Yarrowia lipolytica: one gene and its partners. The protein of the gene in region 2 purifies or fractionates together with the protein of the main gene of each other region. This does not show direct contact. Links are inferred from orthologs where the notes say so. Each region holds a gene or a part of one and is shown on either strand. Other genes may lie near its edges.

Region 1 (11,936 bases), on a different chromosome or scaffold from region 2:
TTGGCTCCATGATCTAGCAACAGTCGCACGGCATCGATTCGGTTCTTGCCCACAGCAAGATGCAAAGGAGTCTGTCCTCCATTGGCCTTCTCGTTGACATCGGGATCCAGAGGCAGAACAAGCTGCAGCATGTCAATGTTTCCGGTGGAGGAGGCAATGTGAACAACGGTCCAGCCACTAGCGTCGGTCTGGTCAATGTCAGCAGGCTTTTGGTTGTCCAGAATCCACTCCACAATATTCTTGTGGCCCATGGACACCGCCCACAGCAGAGCGCTTCGGCCGTCCGAATCCACCAGGTTCACCTGCTTGGGGTCACGTGACAGAATCTCCTTCACTGTGGCCAAGTCGCCGTCCCGCGCAGCCACCTGGAGAGGGTATTCTTTGGTTTCCATTGTGTGTTTTTGTTGTGTTAAATGCTTGTGTGTACAAGGAAGGACTTGTTCGTGGTGGTGATGCAGGTTTCGATCATGGTACGATTGCTTAAGGTTCGAGGCGTCCCCAGATTTCCGTATGCATGATCACGTGACCTGATCGAGGTGGTTTAACCTCTTTCTTGGTCTGGTTCAAAGGAAATGAAATCATGAGGCTCTACTGTGGGGCAGAGTGGGGAAGACGGTGGAAAATATTGCTGCGATCCATCGCTTCGTGTGGGGAAAGGAAAATTGGGCTTTTGGACCGCCGACCCTCCACCTTGAGCATGGTCTTTAGAGCCCGTAGTTCAACAGCAAGGTGGTAAATTTGGGGTTGAATTAAGGCTGTCAACCAGGGGGTTTGATTGAGCCCACTAAGTTCAAGTATTTGTCCCAACCGTTACTTTAACAGTAGAGAATAACGACATTCGACAGCTTCACGAGCGCCCATTGGCTCTCGTTTGTTGATTATTACCATGCCTGCCCAGTCGCCAACCTGCTATGGCCTCGACCCCCACACTAAATGCATCATTAATTACCAGATACACGGGTAATTGCATACGCCGCTACACTTGTCCTTGTCCTGTCTCACAAGTGTGCTCCAAAGGCTCTCCTCCCACCCACTCAACCCAACATACACCGTGCTCGGCTATCTATCGCCAATCAGCCTTGCAATATTTTTCTTATCCAGCCCCTCCATGTAATGCAATGCCGTCATATTACGTGGCGGACGTCGCCAGCAGTGCGCAACAATGGCCGATTATTAATTTTCTGCCGTCGTGAGCAGCCCGTTTGTCTGCTCGCAAACCGTGCCTTTTTCGGCATGCCGGTAAACTAAGAACGGTGACTGCCGTTGGTTCCCCTGCATCCGAGCACAAGCACGTAATTAAACCGAACCTCCGGCAGCGCCTGGTGTATGCACAGTCCGCTGTACACAATGTACGCACTGGTACGTGGTATATCGAGCAATTGGACGTGGGCGTGCAATACGCGTGTCCAACTACAACACGCTTTTTTATATTGGCCTTTAGCCTATATTGTTTTGTAAATGTACTGTATTTCGACCGGTATTTTGACGGGCTGGTTTAAGGTCTGTACCAAGTCCGGTAGACCGTTTTTTCGTCTGGATCTAAGACATGGCTTAAAATACGGCTTAAATTAAAGTGAGTGGAAAAGCCGTGTCGACGAACAAGCTAGTGATGGCGGTACAGTAATTAGTGTCGAAAATACACGGCCAGGCAGCAACCCCTCACCTCGACTCGGGCTCTGTTGACCACCGCAAATAATAAAATACAGCGACAATACGTACGGTACTGTACCAAAACTCTCAAATAATACTGGCACTGTAGACCACGAGCCAAGAGACACGACGTACAAGTATGTACCGGCACCGACAAAGGCCCAACGCTGCTGCTGTGTGCTTTTTCGGGTGCTGTGCAGCGAGGTTAGGATATGAAATGCAACAAGGGGGACCTAAATGAACACCTCTCAAAGGGTCAGATATTAGTCCGATTTTGACACGGGAACCTCGACTCTAGACCGTCGACCCCTGAATGACCTCGCCCCATGCCTTTTTAGCGGGTTGCCAACCCCAGCACGCCTCTTTTTTGACATCTGCGCGCTCCAACTGGCTGGCTTGGCAAAATGGCAAAACTGCACTATTCCCGATATAATAAAAATTCCGATATACGCATAGCCCGTACAGATCCATTGTCTATGTGCTTCAGAGCACATTTGTTTTCGACCCAAGACGCCGGGGCACATGCGCAGCTACTGTAGTCTACTCTTGCCAAAAATGTGTCTCCTCCCGCAGACATAATAAAAGTGTGCATTCTCGGTTCCAGGTCCAGAAAGGTCTTTTTTGGGAGCTACAAGACGCTGTATTTGGGCCTCGATTCTGTCACTCCAAGTTGCCTTCGCCAAGTACTCCCATTTCAGACCCATTGTTTCATGTCACCAAATCCTGTCAAGAATGTACTGTATTATTTCCGACGCGTACCTCAGTATTGGACGTGTCTAGACGAGTGTATCTCATCTGGAGTTATCGTATCGCGCGCTTCTCGTGACTAGGGTCAGGTACAGTACATCTCCAACAAGGACGAGACAGGACATGAAACAGACAAGTCTGGTGTTGCATTTGTACACAATGTGAGCTATATGAAAATGGATCGGAATTGTACTTTTGCAATAAAAGTACTTTGTACGGCGATGGCACATATTAGCGGCAGAAACTGAAACACCATATATGTCTGCTAAAAAAAACCACATATATCAGTCTCGAGACTGCAAGAACGAGCACATATCCTTTGGCGGATATGAGAGGGCACGATAGATCCAGCTCTGACGAGCTAATTGAGGTTCATTGGAGTAAAATGCGTGTGCCAATGGAATACGCACAAGTACAAGTGTGTACCAGTACGATAGCTGTTAGAATATGCTAAGTTTTCTGTCCAGATATTAGATTGACATGTTTTTTTATGTCGCACACAGCATAAATGTTCCAAATTCCAAGTAAACTCCAACAACGTCCCTAACTGTGAATCCACTCATTTCTAAGCAGAAACTCGAGTATCTTGAAACATTAATATTGAAACAACACTTCTGTGTGTATCGGTTAACCAAATTGTGTCATGTCCATTTATGCCTCTTTTTTCAGCAATATTCTCAGAACATCAATTATAAAGTATGATTGATATATATAGTTAACGGCTTACAACTCATTTCAGGACCCTACGTTCCGATAGTAGCACACACCAGAAGAGTGTGTGCTTGCTCATTCACCAGAAAGAGATTCTAGATCGGCAGATACACTGCTTACAGGATGGACATCATTGTCTACGACCAAGCTGGTTCCTCTCATGTCTATGTGAGAAATTGACCAGGTTGGTCCGGGGTATCACCTTTAACAAGACTCTCTCAACAATATTCTGACCTGAGTGCGAGAGAAATAGAAAAGATTGAAAAGAATATTCCATAGATTATGTCACATGACAAAACAAGTACTGTAGTAAAACTTGCAAAAAAGGGTGTGTTCTAATCTCTAATTGTCTAGACTAGCTGTGAGGCGCTTTTTCTGAGCGCCCTTGGCAAGAACATACAATGAGACGAATTTCGATAGATACACTGCGAGTGCTTGGTTTCGTTGAGTAGAAGGTAAAGGCGATATTACTACAAGTAGACGTACGGATAGACAGCTTCGCTCCAGCTGTGTAATAAACAAACACATCATATTATACAGCTTAGTGGGACCTTTTTGCCCATTATATATCTTCTAACCCCGGGCAATGTCCAAAAGACGGTCGGCATCCGTAACAACCGGAGAGTTCTCCTCGTTGTAGGTTCGAGCATTCTGGTTCATGAGCTCGAAATCAGCCACAAAATCGTACCGGTTCTGGTACACATTCTGCTTCACCTTCTTCTGGATCACGTCAAGCGCAATCGGATTCTTGATGAGCTTGAAGTAGTCGGGATACAGCTTTTTGGAGGGAATGGACCGGAACAGGTCACACACATGCCGCAGGCCCGCAGACTCATCTTCAGGATCCCAGGGCTCCGTCAGCGCAAAACACTCGTTGAGAGCCAGCTGGCATGACTCGTTGAGCTCCTCCCGGTCAGCCACAGACAAGGTTTCCCGGACCTTGGGGATCTTGTTCTTGTTCTTCTTCTTGGGAGGAGGAGACGCCTCTTCGTCGACAAACTGGTCGTCTCCATCGGCATCGTCAACGATGATATCATCGGCGTCCAGACCGTCATCCAGATCAGTGGGGGCTCGGGACCGTCGGCTTCGGCGTCGCTTCTTGATGGCAGCGTCCAGATCCTCGTCATTGTCCACAATGTTGAGCCACTGCTCCTCTGTGAGGCCGTCGTCGTAGTACACTTCCTTTCGCTCTCGAGCTCCTCGGCCGTACTTGTCCGAGTCGGCCATGTCGTCCTCTCGGAAATGCTCAGACACATCCTGAGTGAACTGGTCCGGCAACTCGGACTCGGAAAGCAGCCGATCGGGTCGTCCTGCGCCCTTGCCATAATCGCTTGTGGCGTTCCGCTCGGCGTCCATCTGGGCGTAGAAAGCCCGCTCCTCCTCGTTTCGAGCCAGCAGGTCGTTGAGCTCCTCATCGTCAAGGTCCTCGTCCTCTGCCTCTCGAGAGCCACGCTTAGACTCCTCCTGCTCCAGCAGCCCTCGCAGGAACGCCTCCTGCTCCTCGGCCGTCGACTTGTTATCGAACTTTCCGGCCTGAATGACCTTTCCGTCGATTTCAAGCTTTGCGTGAGCTCGCTGGAGAATAACCTCCTCAACGGAATCCTCTGTGATCAGACGCAGAATTCGCACCTCCTTGGTTTGACCAATTCGATGTGCTCGATCCTGTGCCTGCAGATCCTGATGAGGGTTCCAATCAGTGTCGTAGATGATAACTGTGTCGGCTGTCTGCAGGTTCAGACCTAGACCACCAGCTCGAGTGGACAGCAGAAAACAGAAATAGGGCGAATCGGGAGCGTTGAAGAGCTTCAGCATCTCGGATCGATCGTCGGCCTTGGTGTTACCATCTAGTCGCAGGTACTGCAAGCCACGGAGCCGCAAATAGTCCTCCATAATGTCCATAATCTGGGTCATTTGGAAGAACATGAGCACCCTATGGTCCCTAGCCTTGAACTTGGGCAGAATTCGGTCCAAAAGCTCAAACTTACCTGCAGAACGCCACAGTAGGTCGTTGTTGCCATGTGATGGGTTCAGAAGAGTCTCGACTTCCTCGTATACATAAGGATGGTTACAAATCTTACGCAGTTGCATAATCTTGTTGTTGAGACCCTTGACTCCGCTCTTGTTGACACCAGCCGCGCCAGAATCGTCACCAACGTACAAAGCGTTGTACTTGAGCATCTGCTGGTACATTTTGAGCTGAAGAGCGCTCATCTTGCACTTGATGACGGTCTCCACCTTGTCGGGGAGATCCTTCTCAACGTCCTTCTTAAGACGTCGCAGCAGGAAGGGACGCAGCACCTTATGAAGACGTCGGATGACCAGCAGCGTCTCTTCTTCCGTGAGCTCCATCTTGTCCTGTGATCCGCTGTTAGCAAACGGCGTGTTGAACCACTCGTCGAACGTCTTAACCGAGTTGAAAATCTTGGGTAGCACAAAGTTGAGCAGCGCCCACAGTTCGGGCAGGTTGTTCTGCAGAGGGGTACCTGTAAGAATGAGTCGGTATCGAGAGTAGTAGAACTGCGTGAGCGTCTGGGCAAGCTTGGATTGGGTGTTTTTCATTCGATGACCTTCGTCAATGATCATATGCACCCACCGGATTCGGCCCAGAAGCGCCTTGTCCTTGATGATGTACTCGTAGGTGGTGAGCAGCACCTGGAAGTCTCCTGCTCGTACCTGGTTGGACAACTCCTTACGCTGGTTGGGCGAACCCTTGAACACAATCTTCTTAACGCTGGGAGCCCACTTTTCAAACTCATTGGTCCAGTTAGTGAGTGTCGAGAGAGGGACAATGACCAGGTAAGGCCGGGTCTGTCTCTTGACTTCAATAAGGTAGGTAATGAGGGAAATGGACTGGATAGTTTTTCCAAGGCCCATTTCGTCGGCCAAGATACCATTCAGAGAGTTGTTATACAGAGACACCATCCACTGCAGACCCTTGAGCTGGTACTCCTTGAGCTGACCCCCAACCAAGATAGAAGGCTGCTTGGAGACTGTCTCCTTGACTCGATGAGCAATATGGTAGTAGTCGATCTTCTCGCGGTCCTCTTCTCCCTCTCCTCCTTCTTCCTCCGCAGCAGGAATGGGCATTTGAGTTCCGGCTTCTCCTTGCTGAGCACGAACGGCAGATGACAGAGAGTCCAAGAACGAATTGGTCTGTCGCAGCAAGTGGGTGATACGTGTATCCTTGGTCTGGTCCAGGAGCTTGAGGTAGGCCTCCTCGTCGTTGGACTTGAGAGCTTGCAGACGCTGCTTGGCAGTTCGCTCGACTCGTCGACTCTCTTCTCGCTCAACGTACGAGTGGAACTGCTGGATGCCCTTGGCCACGGCGTACTGCTTGGTTCGTCGACGATGGGCCTCTTCTCTGATTCGGTCCGACTGGTGGCACACCGAGTTGACGTACGCCATGATTTCCTCCCGCTGCTTGCGTTCACGCTCCATGCGCTGCTGTCGCTCTAGCTGCTCCGTCAGTCGCATCTCGTGCGCGGTCTGCACCTTGGCTCGTCGGTTGAGAGCCCGGTTGATGACCGAGTCGGTCACCTGGGACGTCTGGGCCTTGCAGAAGACTAGATGTTGCCGCAGACTTTTTTGCTTGGTTAGCAGCCGCAGGGCCTTGAGCTCGGCCACAGCTCGTACTTTGAGCGCATCAGTGCCTTCGGCTTTGCCGAGATCATCCCGGGAAGCATCCAACACTCCGAGGTTTGATGGCAGAGACTCGAGCTCCAGAATCCGCTGCGAGATTCGGTTCGTGATGATGAACTCGTGTCGTCCACCGACTCCCCGCCCGTTGTCCACAAACCCGCCTCGGGGGGGCACTCCGCTGTCCTTGAGACGTCGCTGGTAAGGGGTGAGTGACTTTTCAAGTGCTGCGTCAGCCTCCTCTTCGGTGATGTCACTTTCGATGCCTACCGTCTCCATTAGGCGCTCCTGCACGTCGGTGGGCATGTCGAGACCTCGGCTCAGGTATCTGAACGCGTTGACCTGGGTTCGGAGCAGGTCGAGGTCGATCTTGTTGTGGGCGGCTTTTCGGGCGCTGTTGACCTCTGCCAGACGCTTGTTGTACAGCTGCTGCTCCTGGCCCATGGTGTGCAGCCGGGTGACGATGCCCTCGAGTTCGGGTGTCACCGGGTGGTCGGATTGATTAAGAGCATTGAATCGCTGTGTTAGAATGAGAATAGATGGCGGTCAAGCAATAGACTTGCACACTGTGCTGTGTTGAGACACGTGTGTCGTCACGTTATGTGCAACGATACGATACGATACCAATGACCCATGACCCATGACATCGATAATGTCGTGTCGACCCGTCCAACGTCGGCTGTCGTGTCCATAACACAATCACACTCTGACAATGTCACGTGGTGTCGTCACGTCCTCGGTGTCACGTGATGGTGTTCCGTCCGTCGTGTTGGGTCTGTCTCCCCTCCTCTTGTCTTCCTCTTCCTCTGATACTCACCAAAAACAACAACTGGGCCTGCTCCACGCTCTCGGGGGTGGGGATGGAATAATAGTGGGGCTGTTTGGCGGAGCCGTTGAGAGCACCGCCATTGGGTGCTGGCGAATGCCCGTTTTCGAGATCCATCTTGCCAGTGCTGTGTGTGCCGTTGATGATTCGGTTTCGTCGAATACCGCACGGTTCTACACGCTTGATAGTTTCGCTCGACAGCAGTGGGTGAAAGTGTGTGAGGGTCGACCAAAGTCTAATCTGCTCCCACCCACGGTTTCGGACCACGTTTTACGCGGCGCGGTATGGATGTTGCCGGTTCGACTCCGCTTTGGGTGAGTATGCTTGGAAAGTTTGGCTGGAATGAAGGTGCACCAGTCAGAAGGAAGATGTCGAAATAGCGGGTTGTGGCTGGCAGACACGGCCGAAATATTTACTCAGACGGTCCGCATGGTGTTAAAATGTCCTGTTGCACTGCTTTGACTTACTTGGGGGGAGGACAGAGTAGGTCCAGTACAGTATGTACGTTAAAACAGTGCTCTTGTAGACTAATTACTGAAGGGCCTTCATCTTTCAGCTGAAGTGGAACATACAGCACCTCGTTAAGGAACGTTCATACTTTCTCGTTTGACACTACACAGGTGCCCGGGGGCCTCAATGGGGTCTAAGCCAACTTCTCAATCAGTCACGTGACGCATCCCCGTCCTATATCGCCCATACCTATGCTGCTCTGTCATGTATCCCACTGTCACATTTGCATGCATAACCAGGATCTTTATCTGCATCTAAATTGAATCTTCTTCACACAGTTCACTCCAACAACAATGCCTCGACCCCGACGAGAAATGACGCCTGACGAGGAGTACTCTCGCAAACTGTCGTACATCTTGCGACACGGCGCCACCAAGGAAAAGCTGCCCATTCGAGAAGACGGATACTTGTCTGTAGGTGTGCTGCTCAATAGAGCTGGAATCAAGGGGAAATGGAACCTGGAAGACACCAAGCGGGTTGTGCGAGATAACGACAAACAGAGATACAAGCTCATCTTTGAGCCCACAGAAAAACAGCCCAAAGAACCCACAGACCCCAACGATTGCACGGGATACTGGATCAGAGCTAACCAGGGACACACTATCAACACCAAGGTCGAGATGAAGGCTCTCAAGACCCCCGAGGACTTCCCCACTCTTGAGATCTTCCACGCCACCTCGAAACAGGTGCTTCCCATTGTACTTAAGGAAGGATTGTCCAAGATGAAACGTCAACATATCCATTTGGCTACCGATCTAGTCACCGAAGGAGGCTCTGTGGCTGGAAAGCGACTTAACAGAGAGGTGTTCATTTACATCAATGTTCCCAAGGCTCTGGAGGCCGGAATCGAATTCTTCCTGTCTGAAAATGGTGTTGTCTTGACTGAGGGTAAGGATGGAAAGATCTCTCGAGAGTTCTTCAGTAAGATTCTGGACAAGAATAACCAGCCGGTTGACTTGGAGGCGTTGGCATAGGTGCATATAGCAGCATTAAAAACATACTGTATTCGATAATATACGTTACAGTCCATGCTTGTACTTGCAATTGGTACCTTACCTCACGTTACATTGTGTTGCATCTCTTAGTAACCAATATATATGCTGCTGAGGTATTATCACGGGACCGTAGACTATGTCCCCTGTTAATTCACCTTTTAAGATATCTTCAACGTCTTTAAAACTTCTCCTCCTATCTACAGCCTACAGTATACATACTCCAGGACTGTGTCCAACTGTGGCATCCGTGCGGCTCGGAAATGCACAGAAAATATATCCTTCGACATGCATGATACAATTTCATCCATCACCAACCACACAACCGCCATGAACAGCAACATGAAAAAGGCGCCTCCTACGGCGAGCAAAACGCATCTCAGTAGTAAACTGAACAACATGAAGGTGAGTATCACGTGAGGAGAGTGTCGGACTGATCTGGAGATGATCTTGGATGACAACTGGGATGCTCAGAGCAAACAGAGCAGTTTCGACGCCACCAGGACCTGGAGAATCAAATGGGGTTGTGACTGTTGCAGGTTAACAGACGCTTTCAATTGCCAGTACTTCTTTTACACATATTCAATCCATTCTTTTCCACCCACTAACGCAGTTTATGCAAAGATCTTCTGATCAGGAAATGAAGAAGGAGGAGGAAAAGGCACAAAAAAAGATTGACGACGCATCGAAATGGACCGTCAAGGGTGTCAAGGCGCCGCGAATCCGAAAAAAGTCGCGCAAAATCGTCTCCGTGGGCTACTCGGACATTGCGCTTGCTGAAGATACCAAGGGACGGCTGTCATGGGGAGGATTCAACGATCTGGAAGACACCAAGAAGCCCAAGGAAGACACTCGGTCGGCTGCCGAGATTGAGAAGGAAGAGCACGAGTTATTACGAGCGGCCGCCAAGAACCAGGGTGTTTCTGGGTCTGGAGGAAACAAGGCCAAAAAGCGGCCCTCTGAGGGTGGAGATAACGGGGGAAAGAAGAAGATGAAGTATTAGTCTATGGTAGACGGCAACGGAATATGTAACATATAAGCATTATTATTGATTTTAGGTGTAGGTACACTTGTAGGCATAGTCGTACGGTGTCCCCATAGCTCTAACAGACCTGTTTGCAAGCGCTCTATCTACTTTTTCAAATAACCACCCTTTTCGAGGGCATCTCTGGCAGCCGCATTAATGTGTTTAAATCGGTCAGGACCAAGTTTGATGCCTCCATACCATCGAGCGACCACCACAACCACATTCTCAACCCCCGTGAGAGACAACAAATGCAGTAATCTGCCTCCTGCAGCATCCTCTCCATCGTCATCACAGTCCTGCGCATAGATACCCTTTTCTGCGTCCCTCAGAATGCGGTAAGCTGTGATATTGTGGGTGGCACGGGCAATCTTCTTGTCCTCTTTCAGATGGTTGATCTTGGCCTCAGCCTCGGCTGCCGAATGGACTGTGAATGCATGAGCCACGAATATGGACTTTCGATCCACCACCGGATCCGACAAGGTCCAGCCCGCAAAAATGGCAGCCTTGGCTTCTGCGCTTGTCTCGTCGTGATCCTGATGTGTTTCTGGCTCCTCGGCTTCCTCAGAGATCTCCTCAGTCACTTCCTGGACCTCTTGGATCAGTGAGAATAAGACAACCTCGCCCTCCATATAGACCTGAGCCAAAATGTCTTCCACCAGCCCCTTGTCCACGTGCTCAGTCGACTGCACCTCTGGAAGGATGTCTGGGTAGGCTGAAGGGAAAGATAGCTGCACCAGCGCTCTTCGATCTGGAATCGAAAGGGTGTATCTGCGAGGCCCAATCTCCTTGAGAGAGTCTGGGAAAATAGCGTCGATGGTCTCCACCTCTTCTTCTAACGACATGGCGCTTGTTGTAGATGTGTTTTAGATGCGTGAGTGGCTGCTTTGTGTCGAATTTGCGCTTTTAGCACCGATCTTTGCACTAATCATGAGAGTGGTATCAGTGGTCTCACCACTTGCAGCACACTTGCACACTGCATGATCTCAAGGTTAGGGTGAAAGAGGAGCTCATTCAAGTATGGATAGAGGGATAGTACAGCCGACACTTTGATATCAATTCTACGTGGCTGTTCGATGATCCTGGGACATTTATCATGCAAGATTAATTAGACTGGTTCTATTTGGCTGAATGAATGGCGTTGAGGTACGAGAACCATTGGCAGTACAATACTTACAATTACACTTGACTTTTCAAGTAAACCAAAACTGGTACTTGGTTTGTCTTAAATTTTAATATCCTGTTACTTGCCTTCTCAAGTAAGTCTCTCTAATAATCATCTGCTGGCAAGGACGTTCGACCCTACAGCCAACCTACAAGTAGACCACCTCCACCCTGAGATCACCAAGTGGATCCTTGAATCAATGGCACGTCCACTCGAGAAGCCACACAAAGACTTCTCGAACCCACTACTCCCGCACTAAGTGTTTCAGATGCGCTTGTAAGACAGAGCGGCTCGAGTTCTAGAACCGATGGCGTTGTGGTCCTTAATTTCGAGTATCTACAGTAGCGGAAGTTATACCTTAGAGAGACGGTTAAGAGACTGTAGATGTAGAAACAAGTATTCGAGGAGTGAGTGTGTGAGATGTGACTGTAGTGGAAGTCTTGTTTGTACTACAGTACTTGTAGCTACAGTACAGACCGTCGTGTGCATTGTTCTTAACACGACGATGTACTGTAACTACTCTACTCGTACAGTATGTCTGCACTCAATTCACTATGCCGTTCTCTAAATCACTCGACAGCCATGACGGTTTGAGTCCAACCACCGCCATCTCCGCACCTGCCCAAGTCGGTCTAGTCCAGCACAGCCTCCACTAAATACATGTACAAGTGTGGT
Region 2 (9,540 bases):
GTTATGGGTCTCGACCTTGGCGAGAAACTGGACGGGCTCGGGCTTAAGAGTGTAGACCTGGGTCTTAGGATCAGGAGCGTAGTAGAAGCCAGATCCAGCGGCCTCGAGGACAGCGGCGTTGTCAGAGTAAGCAGAGACGGTGTAGCCGGGGTTCTTCTCGTGGGTTGTTCGGATCATCTTGAACAGCGAGTGAGGCATGTTCTCGCCGTCAATCTTCCAGTCGGCATTGAAGATCTTGTGTCGGCAGTGCTCCGAGTTGACCTGAGCGAACATGAACAGCTCCACATCGGTGGGGTCTCGCTGAGGGAAAGCGGTCTGCAGGTAGTCGATTTCGGGCTGGTCCAGGGCGAGTCCCAGAGACTTGTTGGCCTCAGCGATACCAGCACGAGGCACGGAAACGAGAGGCTTGGGCTCGTGGTGTGCGAAGAGGTCCTTCTCGGTGACGGGGGCGCCGATTCGGATAGCCTCTGTCATTCGATCGTAAATGAAATCAAGGAAAGCGCCGGATTCAACGTGGGGACCCAGAGGGAAGCCCTTACGGACTTGGATTAGCACAGCCAGACCTCGCTCAACTCGCTTGACGTGGGGCAGACCGCAGTTCTGGGTGATGTTGGTGGCCTTGGAGGACCAAGGCGAGATGGTGCCGGGTCGGGGGATGATTCGAAGCAGGTACGAGTCGGTCGGGAGCTCAGCCTCGTCATTGACGGCTGCCTTGATGAGGGCGGCAGTCAGAGCATCTCCAGCGTCGGCCTTCTGGTCGTAGTCCAGCAGAGAGTCGAGCAGCTTGGACTCGGTCTCGGTCAGAGCTGCATCTCCAGTGTCAACGTAATGAACGTAGATGGCTCGAATGGCAGCCACGGCGGACGAATTGACGGCCTTGTTGATGTTCTCGAGCAGAGAATTCACTCGGAACTGAGAATAGGCCTGGGGTCCAGCCAGCGTGAGCATGGTTTGGGCGGGTTGGGTTTTGGAGGGTGAGTACACTTGGGTAAGAAAAGGGAGACAGGCCTATAGTAATATAATAAGGTCTAAATTTTTGGGACATTTTTTTTATCGGTCAGATAGGGTTCTGAAGTTAGCTGAAGACAGTGTGAGTGAGTTGGATGAAGGGGATTAAGAGGTGTAAGAGAATGGAAGATGTGAGCTCCAAGGGGCAGATCGAAGAGATTGGAGGGTGAAAAATCCAATTACGTAATATTTAACAACCAACCACCCCCTCTATCCGCTTATTCCCGGACCCTTTGATAATATTTGGCACATCCTCAAGAGCCTATGATGTTAAGCTTCATAGTTCATGGAGCAGCTTTTGAGATTGAGCAAAAGTGACAAAGACGTTAGGAGCTGCTGGAGAGAGTGTCACCAGGTGCTTCTTTCTCTTGGTAGCATATTTCGTCCTTTTTTTTTTTTTACGTTGTTATTTCCGTCATTCTTCTTCCCTGGCATTCTCAGCCACGGCCAACCGTTGCCCACTACACGCCCCAAGCCTCCTCACCACACATCCTCCTCTCCCCACAAGACGTGACTCAGAGACTGCCTGTGAGAGGCAAACGAGGGGGACTGAGTAGACAAGAAGCATGGCATGGCATAGGCGCAACGTCTGAGGAGCAGAGCCAAAGCGACAAGCCCAGGCCACACTCGGTGCACGCCGCTGCTGCAATTGCAAGCGTGGCGATGGAGGTTGGCAGGACCTGAGTATCCCTAGTGCGTGTAGTACTCATACGAGTACAGCGTAAAGGCACGGCTAGAGCATGGAGATTTATACTGATGTTCGTGGGTCATATCTTATGCTTCAGTTTCCGTATGGTAACTACAGTACGGAGAATTGTACAGCAGTGGGTCGATGTCGACGTCAGCTAATTATGGACGCTTGATTGGCTGATACAAGATTGTAAGACGCCCTTTTATTATTTTGGTTACCACACACTTGGTTTGTAGTGATCCACTCCTGTTTCTCTACGTTGTGGCAAGCTCTTAATCAGCAAACCCTGTTTACATAGGGTAACATGTGCCTGACTCGTGGACCCTGTGAGCTGTGAGTTTTGCAGTCTCGCCAGCAGACTTTGAGCCGTTCGGTCCACTTTGAAATCGGAAAAAAATCTTTTTATTTGCCGATTTTCCACGCGCGGCTATCGGTCGGCGTAATAATCACTGGCGGGAAATGTGTCACGCAAAACTTGCCATTATTTGAAGTGACTAAATGTATCGGCATGTCCAAGCATTGAGACAAGGGTCTGAAACAGGTCTTTCGGGTGCAACAAGTTGGGGTATGCCATCGTACAATATGTATTGTCGGAGAGTCATGATTCTGACTATCGCACGAGTAGGTGTACAAGCACGATACTTCTACTTGTATATATTGTACAATAAGCTTGCATCTCGAACTACCCGGTCTGCGGGAGCGTACTTCGAACATATTGCGTGACAGGTAGAGGCTGTAACCTGGAGGCGAATTGATCACAAATAGTACTTGGTCTTCTCTAGCAACTGATGTTATAAGTCAAATCACTGGTTGTTCCCCAGTATCCCATTCGTTATTTTTTGACGCCTATGCAGAATAAAAAAACTTGATCAGACACGATAAGTTTAACACTGTGGACGCAAAAACTTCACAACCTTGATTTGTCGATTCAGGCGACTGAGAAAGGAAAATCTGACGACATTTTCATAATCCTAACATCTCAGATACGCAATAAATTCCCCTGTATGCCCATAGCCCCCCAACGATCTTAATCACAGATTCCCCTTCCCCTAACCCTATTGAGGCGCCCCCCATGCACGACAAAAAAATATTGATGGCTATCCCAACATCATAACCATACAATCTACATCAACCATAGCACCATCAAAACATGCCCCAAGCAGGTCTCAAAAAGAGAGAAAAGACCAGCAAGGTCAAGAAGCCCACTGGCAAGATTGCTCCCAAGAGGGCCGCTCCCCGAAAGATTGCTCCCCGACGAAAGAGCGCTCAAAGAGACGTCGAGATTGCGAAGAAGCATCAAGCAGCTCTGACCGCCACCACGGAAAAGCTGCTGGCCTCTCGAGTGGGCCATCTGGAGATTCTCAAGGGCAACCGACGAGAAATCGAAAAGAAGAACAAGGAGGACGAGGAGAAGAAGAAGAAGAAGGCTGCCAACGCTCAACCCAAATAAAGGGCTCTCACGTCATTGTCAAGTGTGTGCCCGGTACGCGATGGGGATTCAAGTCACCAAAGGACTCTCTTCACAAACAATCATGGAGCGAACTTGGTAGAGCGTCAGCGTTGTATCACACAGTCAACGGTGCTGGTGGCGTCCAGGACCTTGATGAAGATAGATCGGTTCCAGTGATCCAGCTTGGATGTCTTGAGTGACGAGCTACACACCTTTTGTTTAACAGTTTTGCATCATCGGATATAGGTATTCTATTCTTATTTATAGTGATTGGACATGCTCTGGCACAAGTTGCTATAGTACAAGTATTACAAGTAAGTATGTGTAGAGTCTTAAGTGCCTCTCTTCAGAACACAAACCAACATATATCAGTTCATTACAAATACAATACTTGAATATATATCCATTCTCCCCAAAGGAGACACAGCATGTCCTCCAAACGAAATTTAGTTGTGTTTCTAAGCATGCGCGCTCGTAAGGTGTATCTTCTAATGTATCAACAAGATACCTTGAAGCACACACTACTGTATCATGTGCAAGGCGACACTTTCTCTCATGGCAGGTCTAGCGACGACATTATTTTTTCCCGTAGCTCCTTATTGCTCCTTCTTGGACTCCTTGGCCTCGGCCTCTTCCTTCAGCTCCTTGTCGGTCTTGAGCTTACCCTCCTTCTTGAGTTTGGCGACTTCGGAAATGAACCAGGTCAAAGTGCCCCACAAACACAGCGCAATGATGAGCAGCATCACGGTGTGGATGTTCAGAGCGTTCCAGATGAGGAAAAGCAGAGATAGGATCAACAGCACAAACGAGCCGTGGGTGGCCTTGACCAGGGTCGGAGTAGTGCCGGGGGTAAAAATGGACTCCCATAAATCCACAAAAAAGTTACCCATTGTAAAGAATGACGATTGCGAATGTAAAGGTGATGATGATGACGTCTATGTCGCTGATGCATGGTCACTCGCATAGTTAGAAAGTTAAGGGTTGGGGTTACATTACATCACACGAACTGAACATGAGCTGTCCCATGCTTCCTGGATCATACAAATACAAATACATTAATTCCTGGTTATATTGTACCCATCTATGCCTCGGGCTTCACATTCTCCAACTCGCCCAATAAGGGGAACATGTACTGGGCAATGTGTGGGTTGACAGTACCAGCATACACCACCTTGTCAACCACATGAGTCAGTGCCAGTTTGCCCAGATCGCTCTTGGCAATGTTAGTCATGACCAGAATAGCGGCCGGAGACACTCCACTCTTGTTGTCCAGTCTGTATCGTCGAGCCTGATCGTACTCGGCATATCTGGCCTCCATCTTTCGACGGTGTTCAAACTCCGCGCGCTTCTGTGCATCGATGGTAGCAGGGTCCACGGGTTCCTTTCGGGGTTGAATACCCTTGATAATGAACTTTTTGGTTCCATCGTTGAGACTGACAACCATGGCGGCACTTCGAGTGAAGGCCGCGTTGACATTTTTGATAAACTCCACGGCCGGGAGCAGTCTGTGCACGCCGGGAGCAGAGCCCTCCTTACAGTAGGGCTCAAATTGCGACTCGTACGACTTCCACAGAGAAATCTGGGTCACCTCACCTCCGCTAGTCTCCTCGTATGAAGCTCGCATCCATGCATTGGCTCGATGGGGCTCAGGCATCGTCAGAAGGTTGTTCAGAACATCCTCAGGAAGACGTGGGGCCGGCGAGTCGACCGTAGGGACATTCTTCTTTACAGGGCCCGGAGTAGCCCGTGGGGGAAGTCGGATGTAGTCAATGAACTTTTCGTGGGGAAACTCGAACCGTAACAGACGGGCCAGGTGAGTCGACAGAATCTCAGCGTTCGAATTGTTTTCTAACAGACGAGTGACAAATGCACCTCGACGAGTGATCTGATAGAGGAAATCGAGAGCAGCAATTATGAGCTCTTCGTCAGCCTCAACCAGCAGCATCTGCACAGTCTTGTCGACGATCTGATGCCATCGTCGAGCCAACAGAGTAATGATAGGGAAGGCGTCCTCCTTCGGCTCGGTCTCTGCTTCTGGGTGGGCGTGATACTCATGGACCAGCATTCGGGTGAGTGCTCGAGTGGTAGAGATTATGATAGCTCGGTCAGACGAGGTCTCCAACAGATGAGCCACAGCCTGGAGAAGAGGGTCGTCGTAAGAGGAAGGAGACACATAGAACGAGATAGACTCGCAGATGTCAACGGCATAGCTGAGCACCTCGGATGTGAGGGAGGAGGGCGAGACCTGCAAACATTTGAGCACCACCTCAAGACCCTTGTCACTAGTAGCCAGAAACTGGGCATTTTCGGGGTCCAGAGCGGCGTTTCTCAGAATGAGCATGATATCTAGCACACTTTGATGCACTCGATCATCTGCGTCCGTGTCTCCGACGTGTTCTCCGTCGGCGGACTCCTTGTGGGTCAAAAACCGGGCCTTGAGAACACGGCCCAGCAGGTCGGCGATGAGAGACTCATTTAGTCGGAATTTGAACTGGTCAGGGGCGTTGAAGGTTGCTTGGACGAGTGCTGTGAGAGCCCAGTCGACTTCCGAGTCGATACCTGATCGTAGCGAAAAGGTGATACGTGTGAGGAAATCAATGCCAAAGTGGCCGACTCCAAAAGCGTTGGCCTTGGCGATTGAGGTTGGCGTGGGCCTTTTGACAGGGAACATGGGCGGGTTGACAGTCGGAGTCATCACTGGAACAGGCAGAGGACCCGGAGGCACCGGCACAAACTCGTAGGGGTTCGATCCCTGATGCGGGACCATTCCACCGTGGTTACCCCCAGGCATACCTCCATCAACGTAAGGAGAGCCTCCTTGGTATCCCGAGACCTGACCAGGGGATCCTGCTAGCGACGAACGCGTCGAGCGACGGGGCATGTTATCGTTGTACATTGGTGATGTCTGAACCGTCGTCTGAACTTGACGATAATTAGAGTGTGGTGATGTGATTTGGGTGTGTCGAATTATTGTGCGTGTTGGGAGGATGCATGGTTGATGACTCAGCTAGACAGTACAAGTTTATTGAGGTTAGGGTATAGTCTGGGGTACTAGGGTTTTAGTTAGATTTTAGTTGGGTTGCTGAGGCGGATGATACGCGCGAGCCGATCCAACACTGGATCATAAACATTCATTATATATATAATTAAACGGATTACTTCAGTTGGCGCAAATTCCCTTGTCAACACTGAGGATTGAGCCACTAACCTGAGGATTGGTAGCGAAATACATGGCAGCATTGGCAATGCTCTCTACTGACACATCTCCAGTGTCTCCAAACTCCTGGAGAGGAGTCTTGAAAGACAGTTCATGAGCCTTGGTCATTTCAGTTCTGACGTATCCTGGACAAATAGCGTTGGATCTGATAGCCATTCTCCCTCCCTCCACACACATGCTCTTGGTGAACATGATAAGAGCAGTCTTTGTAGCTGCGTAGATAGACAAACCAGGAGAGACGGCTCTAAGTCCGAGAATGGAAGAAATGTTAATGATACAGCCATTTCCTTCCGCCTTTCTATCTGAAGCAGCTCTTTCAGGGTATCTTTTCTGCCAGGCTTCCATGGCGAACTTGGTCATGAACATGGTTCCCACTAGATTGACGTTGACAACATTTTGTATATCTTTAGTTGATGTGGTTGAGAGTAGACCGGTGAGAGAAATGCCGGCACAGTTGACAAGAACATCTACTTCAGAGAAGTCTACTCCAGCAGGAGGTTGTTCCGAGGTGACGTTGTGGACAATGCCTTCATGATGCTTCTCTCCCTCAAGTCGTTCAGGTAAAGCGAACAGAGCAGTATCAATTTCTTCTTTCTTGTGAGACAGGATGATAACTCGAGCTCCTGCGCTGGCAAAGGCCTTTGAAATTCTGTATCCAATACCTCCGGATCCTCCAGTGATCAGAGCGGTGGTGTTTCTGAGAGACATGGTATGACGGGATGAAATGTGAAGAGAAGAGAAAAGACTGAAGACAAACCGGATTAAATACCCGTAACTAGCATTATCCGAGCGTTGCCAAGACTTTCTGGCCAATAATCTCGTCTATACCCTCTCAATATATCTGCCCACTATCATACATGTCTCATGCATCGGAGATTCAACGGGTCACAAACCGAGGCATGAAGAGGAATGGGGGAGGAGGGTGGGATAATAAGAAAATGGTTTAAGAACAGTTATGAGTGTCATGAATGCGTCCGTATTGTAAATGTCTTTTCTCCTTCGGTGTAGAACGTGTGATCATTGGTTCAGGTTGAAAATAATGAAACTCTTAAAAGTATAAACAGTAGAAGTGAGCAAGTTGAACCTGTAGGGTGTGGGGGTCGGGTAGTAGTCTCCGTTGTTTGATTCCAATACCAATAGAGCTCTACCAAGCTCAATTAGAATTGTATCATTCCGAATTACTCACTCATAATTTGCCGCTGGGGACTTCTCATAGACCGCAACCCTTTTCATTAGCTGATGTCTCAGAGAAGGGAGTTTTTAGCCGCATCAGAGAGTTATAGGAATGAACTGAGAGTGCTTGTACAGTATGTACATATTGTAATATGATTTTTACATTGGAACTTCTAATCACAGGCAGAATTCAAGCTTCGATGTTCTGAAAAAGCAGCTGCTTGAGTCTCAAGTCTGTACCTGTAGATCTGTCTCAGAATCATAGCCTACAGTACATACTCATATAAGTCCAGTTGATCCCCCGCGACCATCTGCTGGCAGTTTCAGGCCCAGTTTCTCTTTAGCCTACACTCTTAGCAGTAAGAGCAGTTACTTCTCACATTTAGACTATGTACAATAAATTAAAGATCTTCATCAGTGGAAGGAGGAGCCTTGTTATCGGATCTCATGTAGACATCGATGGCTGCAGAAAAGGCGGCGAAACCGGCACAGCCAACAAGAGCGGCCTGGGGGCCAGCCTTGACGGCCAGGCCTCCACCAGTTAGACATCCGGCAGCCACACCATTCCAAATATCGTTTTTGGCTCGCAGAGACTCGATACAACACTCGGTTCCAGAGAAGACACCTCCAATGAAACCGAAGTTCTTGGCACTGCTCCATGCTCGCTTACCCATGTCGGTGAACTGGATTTTCATCTGCTGCTTGAAGGGCAGATCGGACATTGTCTGCACACCCATTCCAACGGGGGCATCATAAGCCATCTTAGTTAGTATTCGTTGAAAGTAGCAGAGATTTACTTGAGATAGAGACTCGATGGACTCTATAACACGCTTGGAGTGTACTCAGAGCGTCTCAAGGGCATATATGAAACACCAAAGCACTCAACATGTGTGATCCAGTCTCCACATTTGATAGTCTACTTGACTTCAAACTGACCCCAAATCCTGACCGATCATGTTACCACTCAAAATCCACCTTATCCCCACACGTTGATACTCACAGAAGCCATGAAAAGACCGAAAACACCACCGAGTCCGAAACCGGTGACACCAGCCATGACGGACTTTCCGGGACACGACTGCATGGTGCCCATGATGAGGTTGGCCGAGTACATTCCCTGCTGCTCGGGAGTCATATCCCAAAAAGAGCCTTGGGGAGGAGTGGGAGCTCCGCCGCCGGGGAATCCAAAAGCTGACATTTTTATCTGTGGTGGATGTGTAGCACTGTCGAGGCTTTTGAATTTTTCACCAGCGAGTCTGAGAGTTTATATTTTCGTTAAGGTTCCAGATTAGTCACCCAGTGGTGGTAGTGAAGATGTCATATATAAAAGCATTCCGAATCTCGAAGTGGATCAGAAAATTGCTGTTTTGAATGGAAGGACATCGTAGTATGAGATTAATTGCTTTTTATCTCCATTTCTGGTTAATAATGAGTGGGTTTTTTTGTTGAGAAACACGCTTCGGTTACTAAGTAAACAGTTGATAATCTGAACAAAAGATCATCAGTGATGAAACCTTCAGAATTGAGCCCAGATGAAAACACAGAACCGTCAATTAATTCCGAATCATTTTTCTGCTGAATCATAGCTACAAAAGCACCGGGTTTTATCACCTACGTACATGCGAATTGAATTCACATAAATCAGACACAGCGGTTCGAAACTTGCCCCAACCACATTTAAAGCAATTATAGCAATCGAAGTCCTCTAGCTACGGGCAGTGCGTACTATAGCAGGCATGGAGCCGTACACCAACCATAGTTGATAATTTATTGGAGTGTGAGCATATTCTTTAGAAGGAGACATAAAATATCCTCAATGATCCATTCACTGGCCCACATCTGGTACTGTACAAGTGAGCAACATCTTCCTATTCTTCGACTCCATTATATATGCACTACTTGAAGGCTATGGCACTTTGGGTAAGCGGAGTTAGTACGTCCAAAAGCAAGCATCCAAAGAATCACTGCGGAGTATATGAGGGGCCTGAATCGTATTGTAGA
Region 3 (9,687 bases), about 3.1 Mb from region 2:
CGTCGGCACCGGCTCCCGAGCCCCATTCGTTGAGTGCAATGCCCAGAAACGTACCCATGTACGCGCCAACCGCCGTCAGAAACTGCGCCTGCATTGCCCGAGTCTTGGAAAAGCCGCCCTGAATCAGTAGGGCAAAGTCGCCAACCTCGTGGGGAATTTCGTGGAAAAAGACGGCCAGAAACGTGGTTGCTCCGACGGATTTGGAAATGTAGAAGGACGCAGACAACGCAATTCCGTCGGTGATGTTATGGGTAAAGTCTGCAATCATGTTGAGCCATACAGAAGATGAGTAAGCCGGGGAGGAGGAGGAGGAGGAAGAGGAATCGGCGTCGGCGTCGGCGTCGGCATCGACAGAGGTAGAAGTCACGCGGCCAGTTTCAGCCGTCACGTGACCAGTCTCCGCCGCCTTTTCGCCCCGTTTGACGGCCGTGGTCTGGGAAGGGGTGGCCGAGGTAGTCTGAGCGCTGCCTGTGGGGACTGGGTCAGTCACGTGGCTGTCACCGTGACTATGGGCATGGTCATGTCCACTCCCGTGACTATGGTCATGTCCACCGCCCAACATTCTGATGAATTTGTCCATGACAATAAAACTCATAAAACCCACAAAAATGCCAAACCCGAGCACAATGTTGCGTTTCTCGTCAACGGGAACAAACCGCAGCCCCGCGCCGCCCTCCTCTCCGAAAAACACCTGCGGCAATAGATGTAGAAAAACGTCACCCAAGAGACCGCCAACCGCAAACGCCACCATCACCTTGAGACTGGAGGGCCGAATGTCCGGGGGAATGAGCGCCAGCAGCAGATTGGGGGGTCCCGAAATGTAGGTGGTGGCCAGAATGGCGTTGTAGGCGGCGGAATCAAACGGGAAGAGAATTTCAAACAGCCGGTGGATCAACGACTCGGTGTCGTCGGCGTGATCGGCGTCGTGTTGTTGATTCATGTATTGCACCACGGGGCAATCGGCCAACTTGATGTCGACCACCTCTTGGTTGAATCCGGAGCCCAGAAACAGGTCCGAGTCCGAGTAGCTCATTTCGGCCGCGCTGGGTGCCTTTGGAGCGTGTCCCAGGACACCCGGCAGTGCCAGGAGAAGACCTGAAAGGGTTGAAAGGGTTGAAACTCTCATTAGGCGACTTTAGACGAAAAAAAAAAAAGATCAATTCCGGTTAATTGGACGCCGGAGAATCGATTGAGCGGGTAGGTTTGCCGATCGGAGCGGTATTCGTCGACTTGTGGCGATATTTCGAACCGGGACAGGGGGGGAAAATGATCTCGACGAACTCAAGGCGAGAATATCACTCGAATCAGGAGAAAAATGTCGTCGTGGGAACTCGGCGATGAAACTGTCGATAAAAAGGCCTCTGGAAAAAGACCCGCGGTGGTTTTTGGTGTCGCTCTAAAGTCGTTCGCGTGAAGACAAGATTGATAACGCGACCGATTACAAGGGCCGTTGCGTTCGACACGTCTTAAGTAAATTGAGTTTATGCACAAGAAGCTTATTAAGCGAGCGACCCGAAACAAGCGACCCGAACCGGCGCCGAAAGGTGTAAAGGAAGGAGCAGCCCCCCGGTCACGTGACCCAAACTAAAGGTGGTCACGTGATAAGACCTTCCCTTCCCGATTGTTTCTGGAAGTCACGTGATAAGGCGTTTCCTCCCTCTGACTAGGATCCACATTCAACAACAAGGCCTCCTTTCTCACCTCCATCACCATTGCTCCATATTCCGATCAACAGATCGGCAACTGCAGCAGCAGCCAAGTCACGTGAAGAAAAGAGGTGACGACGACGCGTAAGGTAGTCACGTGATCAGAATAGGAGACGGGGCAGCATGTCGAGCCAAGTCGAGGTGGTCTGACAATATGTTTGGGATGATTGAACCGGGGTATTTCAGAACAAGCTGGAAATTTGTCACGTGAGTAAACATGGTGTGTTGGATCGATTGGGACTGTCGAGTACTCGACGAGGAAGCGGATTAGCGGGGGGTATTTCGACCATGTGTTGAACACTTGACCTTATGCTACCTTTGCAAAAATCAACCGTCAATCGGTCGCTCGCTTTAGATCCATTTTACATCTCTACAATTCACCTCTCATTTCTCCACATTGTCGAAACATTAATTGATTTAAAGACGCTCAAAGTGACAATTTATTTGAGCCGTTTTGGCGTCTTCCGCGGCAGTCTCTCTCTCTCTTCTTGCAGAAGGCCAAGACAGGAGGAAGTCAAGTTGGCGAATATAGGCGAAAAGGGAAGATAAATATACATGGTTCGAAAGCCCGAGACGAGGAGAGCCCAACAGTGGTCTCAATTTCTCCGCGGTATTTCTAGAAAAAGAGATATTTTAACATAGTCCTTACTCCAAAGACATGTTTAGAAAAATGCCTTGAATTACGCTGAAACGGAATCACGTGATGCCCCCACATATTCGCTTGTATTTTACCCCAGTCGTCAAAACGAATGGGAGTTTCTTCACCTGGGCTGATAGGATTGCTGGAGAACATTGAGACATTCAAAAGTCTGACTGAACCGAATGCCTCAGACCACAGAGCTACGTTTGGGAGCCCAGTTGCCACGTTTGTAGTACCAGAAGATACCTGGTATCTGAGACAATCGAAGAACTGTCAATGTATTTTTTCAGAATTTGTGACGGGTCTCGAAGCATTTACATTATACACAATTGTGACTAGATTACGTCAACGTTGAATGGATAAAAAGCACAGATCATAAACATATTGTATTGTAGAAATTGCAGTGGAGAATCGGGTCCTTGGTGAATTGACTCTACCTGTTTCATTTCGATCGGATCAAAACTGAACCAGTTGGATTGGAATATGACTTCGAGTAGAATTGAGACAAGGACCTCATATGACGATGTTTGTAAATTTATTTCCGTTAGGAAACCGTTTCAGTGGCAATCATGAAACCGGCTGGTCTCATCGATATGAAGCAGCAATATGGTTTCACCCTGATGCGAATGATTCCTTGTAGCTCCTACTTCTGATCCGACTACTTGTAGGCATCTGGATGTGCGTTTTTCGTCTTTGCGAAGCGTATTCGGTAGTCGTATTCGGTAGTCGTATTCGGTAGTGTACATTGGGGCGTTGCCAGGTCCAGCCAGGGACCCAGTACAGCGGAGTTGTGATGACTAATTACTTAGTAATCCGCAGAAAACTAAACAGCTACTCCTGGGCTTTTGTATGTAAAAAACCGACTACTTCTGGATCTTTTCAAACTGCTGCTTTTTCAAGTATCTCGTTAGAAAATCATGAATTCTCAATATTGGTCAGATTTCAATAAAAGCAGCACCAATCGAAAGCTGGAGCCTCGCAAGTTTCAATGACACACTCCATATCCTCATACAAGTAGCATTATCCCGAATTGTCAATTTAGGTAGTCCAAAGTCCATCCAAACCACTCCACGTTGGTGATGATTTAATGGGACAAAGAGATCACGACAACCGGCCATGCTGTTGTGGTTACCAATCTATATCCATACTAAGCAATACAATTACAAATACATACATCTCCGTCTTTGGGTTAGGGTGGTTGTGGGTATGTCGAGCAGGCTGTCAATTCCAAGTCGTGTCGAGACGAAAATGCGACGAGGACCGTCCCGACAAGATCACTCTCGTCAAGACTCTTCCGGACAAGCCTTCTGGACAAGCCCCTAAGGAAATGCCCGTCTAGGCACTCCAGAACTTGAACAACTCAGGTCCTCCCAATGACACCGGCTTCTTCTCTCGCACCTCGCCCTCATCGCGCTCCTCAACGACGCTCACCTTGGGGTTGCGAGCGGCGATTCGAGCCGCCTCTGCTGCCACCGCCACCGCCTCGTCGCCCCCAAGCTGGGTCGCCTCCTTGAGCTTGGCCAACACACTGTCGGCCTGCTTCTTCAACGACAAACGGTCCAGGTACAGCTGCTGCCGCATCTTTTCAATCTCTTGGCGCTCCAGCCGCACCGTTTCCTCCAGCTGGTCGAACCGGGACATTTTCAGCTCGATTTTGGCTATCTGGGTTTCGGCCAGCGACGAAACGAGCGTGGAGGCGTCGGAGACGGCCTGGCCAGCTAGCTCCTCCGCCCGCTTGCTCATTAGCTCTCCGTCTCCTTCCTTGAGAACCTTTTTGATGGCGGATGCCAGCACCGTGGACTTGTTGGAGTCGGAATGGGCCCGCTTGACGCCCTTTTCTCGCTTCACCAGGTATGCGTCTTCAATGGGCATCTGGATGAACTTGATGACGCAGGCGTCACGCTGACGGGTGCCGACATGGTCGCTTATGCTGTCCCAGTCGTCCTCAAACATCTCCACGCCTTCCAGAAGCAAGAGGGTTTCCTCGTCGGTCCAGGGGCCCTGGGCCGTCGAGTTTTTGATGCGCACAAAGTCAGACGCCTGCTGGGTGGCCGGGAACAGGCCCTGTTCGAACGCGAGTTGCGCCACCGCCTGCTTGGACCGCAGGTTGTGGTACCGCACCACCGATACGTCACCGCCGGTGGTCTGGCAGTGGTACGCCTTGGACGCGAGCACGTTCTGCGACTTTGTATTTTCGTCCTGCAGCGACGCGGCGTCGGCGGCCGACGAGTAGATGTTTCGTCGAATCTCCATGTTGATTGAGGGGGGAGTGGAGTCGTCAAGCTCAGTCGAGGTCGCAACGTAGGTGGAGTCGCCGTCGGTTCCCTTTTCGGGGTCCTCCTGGCCCTCGGAGAGCAGGCTCTTTGCCGGAGGTTCAAAAGGCTGGAGTCCCCGGGGGCCATCGACCATCACCTTAAAGTGGCCCGTAAACTGGGGGCCCATCAGAGACGGCCGGGTGTCGGGGTCCACCTGGTAGTTGATCAGGCCCCACTGTTCCAGAAACGAGTGGACCCGCAGCAGGGTGCCGACGTCGCCGGCGAGGTTGCGTCGGCAGGCGGTGAAGGTCAGGTATTCGACGGGGTTCAGACGGAACGTGTCGACCATGAAATTGCGGTACTGCGTGTAGATGGCCGGCGACTTTGTGCGCGACACGCCCGAGAAAAACTCCGGCAGCGACTTGCGTTCAATGTCGTGGATGCCGTTGCGGTCGAACCACGTGGCAAACGACGGAATCACCACCCGTTGTGTTTGTTCCGCCAGATACGCCCGAGCCTTTTCCTCGAGCTTCGCCTCTTCGGCCGAAATCGCATCTCCCGCGTCGTCCCCGCCGCCCTCCACGGACTCCTCCTTGTCGCTGGGCTTTGTGTCGTCTTTCTTGTCGGACTTGGTCGCTGTTTGAGCCGTGTCGTTGTGCGCGCCTCCAACCTCACTGCTGTCGGGCTTCAGATCGGCGTCGTTGGCCTCAATCTTGGCGGTCTGGGCGCCAATCGACCCATCGCCGTTCACGTCGGTCATGGCCGCGTCCGCTCCGGCTTCTACGCTCTTGTCGCTCATTTTGTACTGTGCTGGAAACGTGCTGTAGGTGATATCACCAATCTACGGTGTGGGAGGAAGGTGTCAACTAGGTTTTACCCGGGAGTGAAGGGTGAGATGTGGGTGAGGTTGTGGGTTCGATTCCGGGATAAATCATTGTGATTTATTGACGATAAGATCACGTGAGAGTACGTAATGGAGTCAGATTATGACTATAGCCACTTGCTTGGACCTTTCGATGAACGGTTTCAGTCACTCAATTGAGCGATACAAGGAGCGATCCAAGCTGCAGTGTTTTTTCCTCTTTTTCTTCCGAATCGACTAGAGAGCACTGGCGTGACCATGATTGACGTGAGGGTATGTGTCTTCAGGCAGATATGTCCCTTCTGATGTCCCTAATGCAACTTCTCGGGCGACGTTCTCCATACTACTCACTCTGATTGAAGAATGCATTGATTAATACTGTACTATGAATCATCCGTCTACCAGCGACAGGCAAGCGTTATGGAGCTGGCTAAGAAAACTCGGGCTCAGGAGAGCCGGCAGAAGGAAGGGAAGGGGTTGTTTCCAGAGCAGGTCCGTCAACGAGGAGACTCGGTCAAAAAGGCGACGATTTGCTGGTCTGGAAATAGCCCCTTGAAGAGAGAATGGGTTGCTGCTAGCAGGGTGATTGTTGAAAAGACTGTGTGAAACCGCATCATGAGGGTGGAAATGAGACTCTGGCGCCTCGTGCATGTCTGAGGCCGTCTAAAACCGTCTAAAACCGTCTCTTTGGAAACGTCACTCGGTCTATTCAAGCATGAGAGTACTTAGAGCAACTGAATACAGCACAGTATAGACACGGTCCCTATGGGTTGGAAACCATCAACTTGTCCTCCTCAAATGATCGGTGTAACTTCCGCACAGAGCTAACACAGCTGCGTGGGCAACCGAGTTAGTTACAAGCCAGTTTTGAGCCAGTTTTGAGCCAAATGTATGCTTGTCGCTCATCTTCGCACCGAGATCCACGTCCGAAGACGATATCTTGCCAGGAGACCGAGAGTGCTTGGGCCTCAGAGTGATGAAAGGTGTCTTGTAAGCATGTATAGCTCTCGACGCAAGTTGCTCTCGACAAGAAGACATCTATGGCCAGTAATCCAGAGCGAGTGTATCACCCAATGGTAGTCTGATAGAATGGCTGGAAGAGGTTGAAACCGCGTCAACCGAAGAAGAAAGATATGTTTCGTTGATGAACAGCAAGAATACGAATGGACAACAGAGTCCACCTGCATGTATTTGAGCACTTGTTCGTTTCGTTTGCAGAATAGAGCCACAATGCCTGGTGATGAAGCTGATACGAATGTACCATGGCATCCACACACAGGCATGGACCACGTATTATCCAGTCATGTCCTCAGTTCTTCAGCTGGTCGAACCAATGAGAACAGTGGATTGAGACTTGCGACCAATGACCTGAAAACCAGTGATTAACCATGACCTGACCCGACTTGGGCACTGCCTGCAAAGCGACACAAGATGGATATCGTGAACCGGATACAGGTTGTGCTGAATGGCACTCAACATTCTGTACAAACACTCGACTGTTGCTGGTCTCATCCATCCAACTTGACCTTTCCATAGTCTTGTCAAACCTGAGGTCCCTCAGACAGAACGCCGAAAACGAGATCACGAAAGGAAACACGCAAAATGGGTTCAGGATGGCCACTTGCAACTAAAAACGTTTCAGAATCGAAATCGGAAGAAAATCGGGGTAATAGGAGAAAAAAGTCACACCAGCTCAACCCAGCTCAACGACACCGGTTCATCTACACATGACGAACGATATCACGTGACCCAAACTCTCCCCAGACCTTCAACACAAAGGAATAAGAACCTATGTACGATTGAAGATTTCGAGTTCGGAGATCGAGTTTGGACGTGTGCCCCCTTTGGTATCCCTCTCAACCACGTCATAACCTGAACCGAACCTTTTCATTTCCATGGTGGGTGAATGGCTGGTTACTGTACCAATAGAGATACCGAATCCTGAACCCCGCATCGAGCCGATCGCCAGCCATATGTTCTGATCACGTGACTAGCCATTTCTGGCCGAGTCGGGATTTCCGCGGGTCAGGTTGGGGGGTTAATGTGGTTCGGCCGGGTAACTCATCCAATTTCGTCCACGTGATATGGTTGGATTGAGAAACTTTATTTTCCGTCACGTGAGCTGAGAGGAGGGATCAGCCGGCTTCCCGTGTGAAGTCCGAGGAGCGTGGTTGGAAAATGTGAGCAGATCAGCAGCGGGTTTCTTCTCCTTGTTTTCAATAGAGTATCTTTTGGCGCGTTGATTAGGTGGGTTCGAACGCGTCGCGGTTTGGGGGTGGTAATTAGCTGGAGAGATGAATGGGGGCAAAAAAAAAAAAAAAAAGAAAAACGAAAGAAAAGAAAGTAAAACGGGGAATCGACGGGTATTTATATTTGATAGGAGATCGGGTTGGGGGTTAAAATATATCGATCAAATGACCCTCCCAAAAAAAAGAAAAAAAAAAGGTAGATAATTAGTTTGTGTAAAGAGCATTTATGGTGTCTTTTTCCATGCCTTTTTTTATGCCTTTTAATACTACTTTTAATACAGTTTTAATACAGTTTTAATACCACTTTAATACCACTTAATCCCACTTTAATACGTGGTTGGCGTTTTTCGCTCAATGCGGCAAGTGACACAAACACAGACCCACAATATATATACGTCTGGATCCGCCCGATTCCGGGTTGTGTTGGTTGTCGTTTGTTCTGGCAGTCTTCATATCAACATCTTGGCACTGTAGCCACACGTGGAAACTTTACCTTGTCACAGAGTTGAGATTTTCGTGTTACACCACACGATAGAGCACCGAGCACCGGTCGTCAGCTTCTTGCGCAGTCAGCATTTGCGGTATAACGACATCTCCAGCATCGTCTGCGCCGTCGGCATCTTAGACAGTACGGAAAAAGGAAAAAAGGCGACAGTGAACGATTTGATAACAGTGAGTAGGGGGATAAGAGATTGAGGAGGTTGATGATGACACAGTGACAGTGATGACAGTGGCGACAGCAGTACCGACAGCAGTACCGACAGCGGCGACGGACGACGACTCTCTGATCGACATTCCTCCAAAGGGGGCGATCGTCGGACGCGGTTTCAAACAGGGTCTTGAAACTGACTGTTTGAACGGCCCTGGCCGCAGCAGAACAGTTCAGTAACTGGTTCGAAACTCGAGCTGCTTCTGGACAACTTCAGAGGACCATTGTACTGGTGTGTGCTGCTTTTGTACTGTTGTCGTACGGTCGATGGAATGACTTTTTGAGACTGGGCTGAAACTATTGCAGACGACCTTGCCGCTTAGCGAGACCGATTATAGTCTCCGCAATGAGCATAGCCAAGGCCTTTCCGGCTCTACTGTCAAAAACAATTTCTTCCTTGAGGATCAAGGCCAAGTTCATTCCTGAAAACTACTCAGTAGCAACTGTGCCCAGACAGTGGTGGAATTCTGGTGCCGATCTGAGTATTGGACTATGACTGACTGGTGTCTGACTAGTTTAACTACTGCCGACGGACTTTGCAGCGACTAGATTGGTCTAGGTTTGGTCAGGAGATCATCTGCTCCTCGACTCATCCCCATAATGAGATGACTAGACATACTGCCCATAACCGACGTCTGGGTGGCTCGTGGAGTTCTTCAGCGACACAAGTGACTAGAGAACCAGTTGATCGTAGTCACAGTCCACAGCTGTCTTACCAAGTCCCTGACGAGTCCCTGACAGAGTTTACAGGCTGTTGCTTGTCCACCTGTTCCACCTTGATGGGTCATGAGGACCTTGACCTTTATATCCGACCGATTCAGGACAGCAACTTCATGTACGGCATTCACATGTTGCTACGTTCGACCTTCGGCCTCACTTCAGTACAGCACTAACCCAGTGGACATTTCCTCGCTCTCCGAGTCCGACCGGTTCAACCGAATCTCGCATCTCCTGGAACAGTCTAAAGTCTACTCTTCGGTCCTCCAAGACCGGCTGCAGAAAGAGCGCGAAGCCCGGGAGCTCGCCCGACAAGAGGAGGAAAAGGCACAAGAAGCGTCACGAGACCGCAAAGATCGCCGCGAGGCGCGTGAGCGCGAGAAGCAAAAGAATCTCGAAAAGCTCGAGGAGAAAAAGAATGCCACCAGGGGCAAGACGCGAGCCAGCCGGCGCAAGGCGGTTCTGTCCAAAACTGAGGTTCAGGAAATGGACAAGTCCAAGAAATCCAAAAACTTCAAGAAAATCGGCCAGCCGCGAATCATCACCGGC

What was found. The genes of interacting proteins can lie anywhere in the genome.
Region 1: the proteins of YALI1_F37508g (region 2) and YALI1_C01789g purify together in Saccharomyces cerevisiae (affinity purification with mass spectrometry; 7 studies listed by BioGRID, with this or other methods). This does not show direct contact. The link is inferred for Yarrowia lipolytica from reciprocal best matches to the Saccharomyces cerevisiae genes RSC9 and STH1.
Region 3: the proteins of YALI1_F37508g (region 2) and YALI1_F06670g purify together in Saccharomyces cerevisiae (affinity purification with mass spectrometry; 8 studies listed by BioGRID). This does not show direct contact. The link is inferred for Yarrowia lipolytica from reciprocal best matches to the Saccharomyces cerevisiae genes RSC9 and RSC8.

The regions. Positions count from the first base shown.
Region 1 is NC_090772.1:171,664-183,599, forward strand, and holds YALI1_C01789g (uncharacterized protein), read right to left. Parts: upstream 7,688-11,936; coding exon 7,562-7,687; intron 7,264-7,561; coding exon 3,682-7,263; downstream 1-3,681. Other genes in the region: YALI1_C01720g (uncharacterized protein), read right to left, coding at 1-392; YALI1_C01800g (uncharacterized protein), read left to right, coding at 8,374-9,054; YALI1_C01810g (uncharacterized protein), read left to right, coding at 9,361-9,477, 9,686-10,075; YALI1_C01826g (uncharacterized protein), read right to left, coding at 10,204-10,941. UniProt on the Saccharomyces cerevisiae protein: Catalytic component of the chromatin structure-remodeling complex (RSC), which is involved in transcription regulation and nucleosome positioning. RSC is responsible for the transfer of a histone octamer from a nucleosome core particle to naked DNA.
Region 2 is NC_090775.1:3,747,371-3,756,910, reverse strand, and holds YALI1_F37508g (uncharacterized protein), read right to left. Parts: upstream 6,046-9,540; coding exon 4,231-6,045; downstream 1-4,230. Other genes in the region: YALI1_F37559g (uncharacterized protein), read right to left, coding at 1-948; YALI1_F37551g (uncharacterized protein), read right to left, coding at 1,489-1,688, 1,740-1,779; YALI1_F37540g (uncharacterized protein), read left to right, coding at 2,850-3,149; YALI1_F37528g (uncharacterized protein), read right to left, coding at 3,746-4,039; YALI1_F37498g (uncharacterized protein), read right to left, coding at 6,310-7,074; YALI1_F37481g (uncharacterized protein), read right to left, coding at 7,941-8,300, 8,540-8,737.
Region 3 is NC_090775.1:661,675-671,361, forward strand, and holds YALI1_F06670g (uncharacterized protein), read right to left. Parts: upstream 5,401-9,687; coding exon 3,682-5,400; downstream 1-3,681. Other genes in the region: YALI1_F06628g (uncharacterized protein), read right to left, coding at 1-1,126; YALI1_F06708g (uncharacterized protein), read left to right, coding at 9,208-9,687.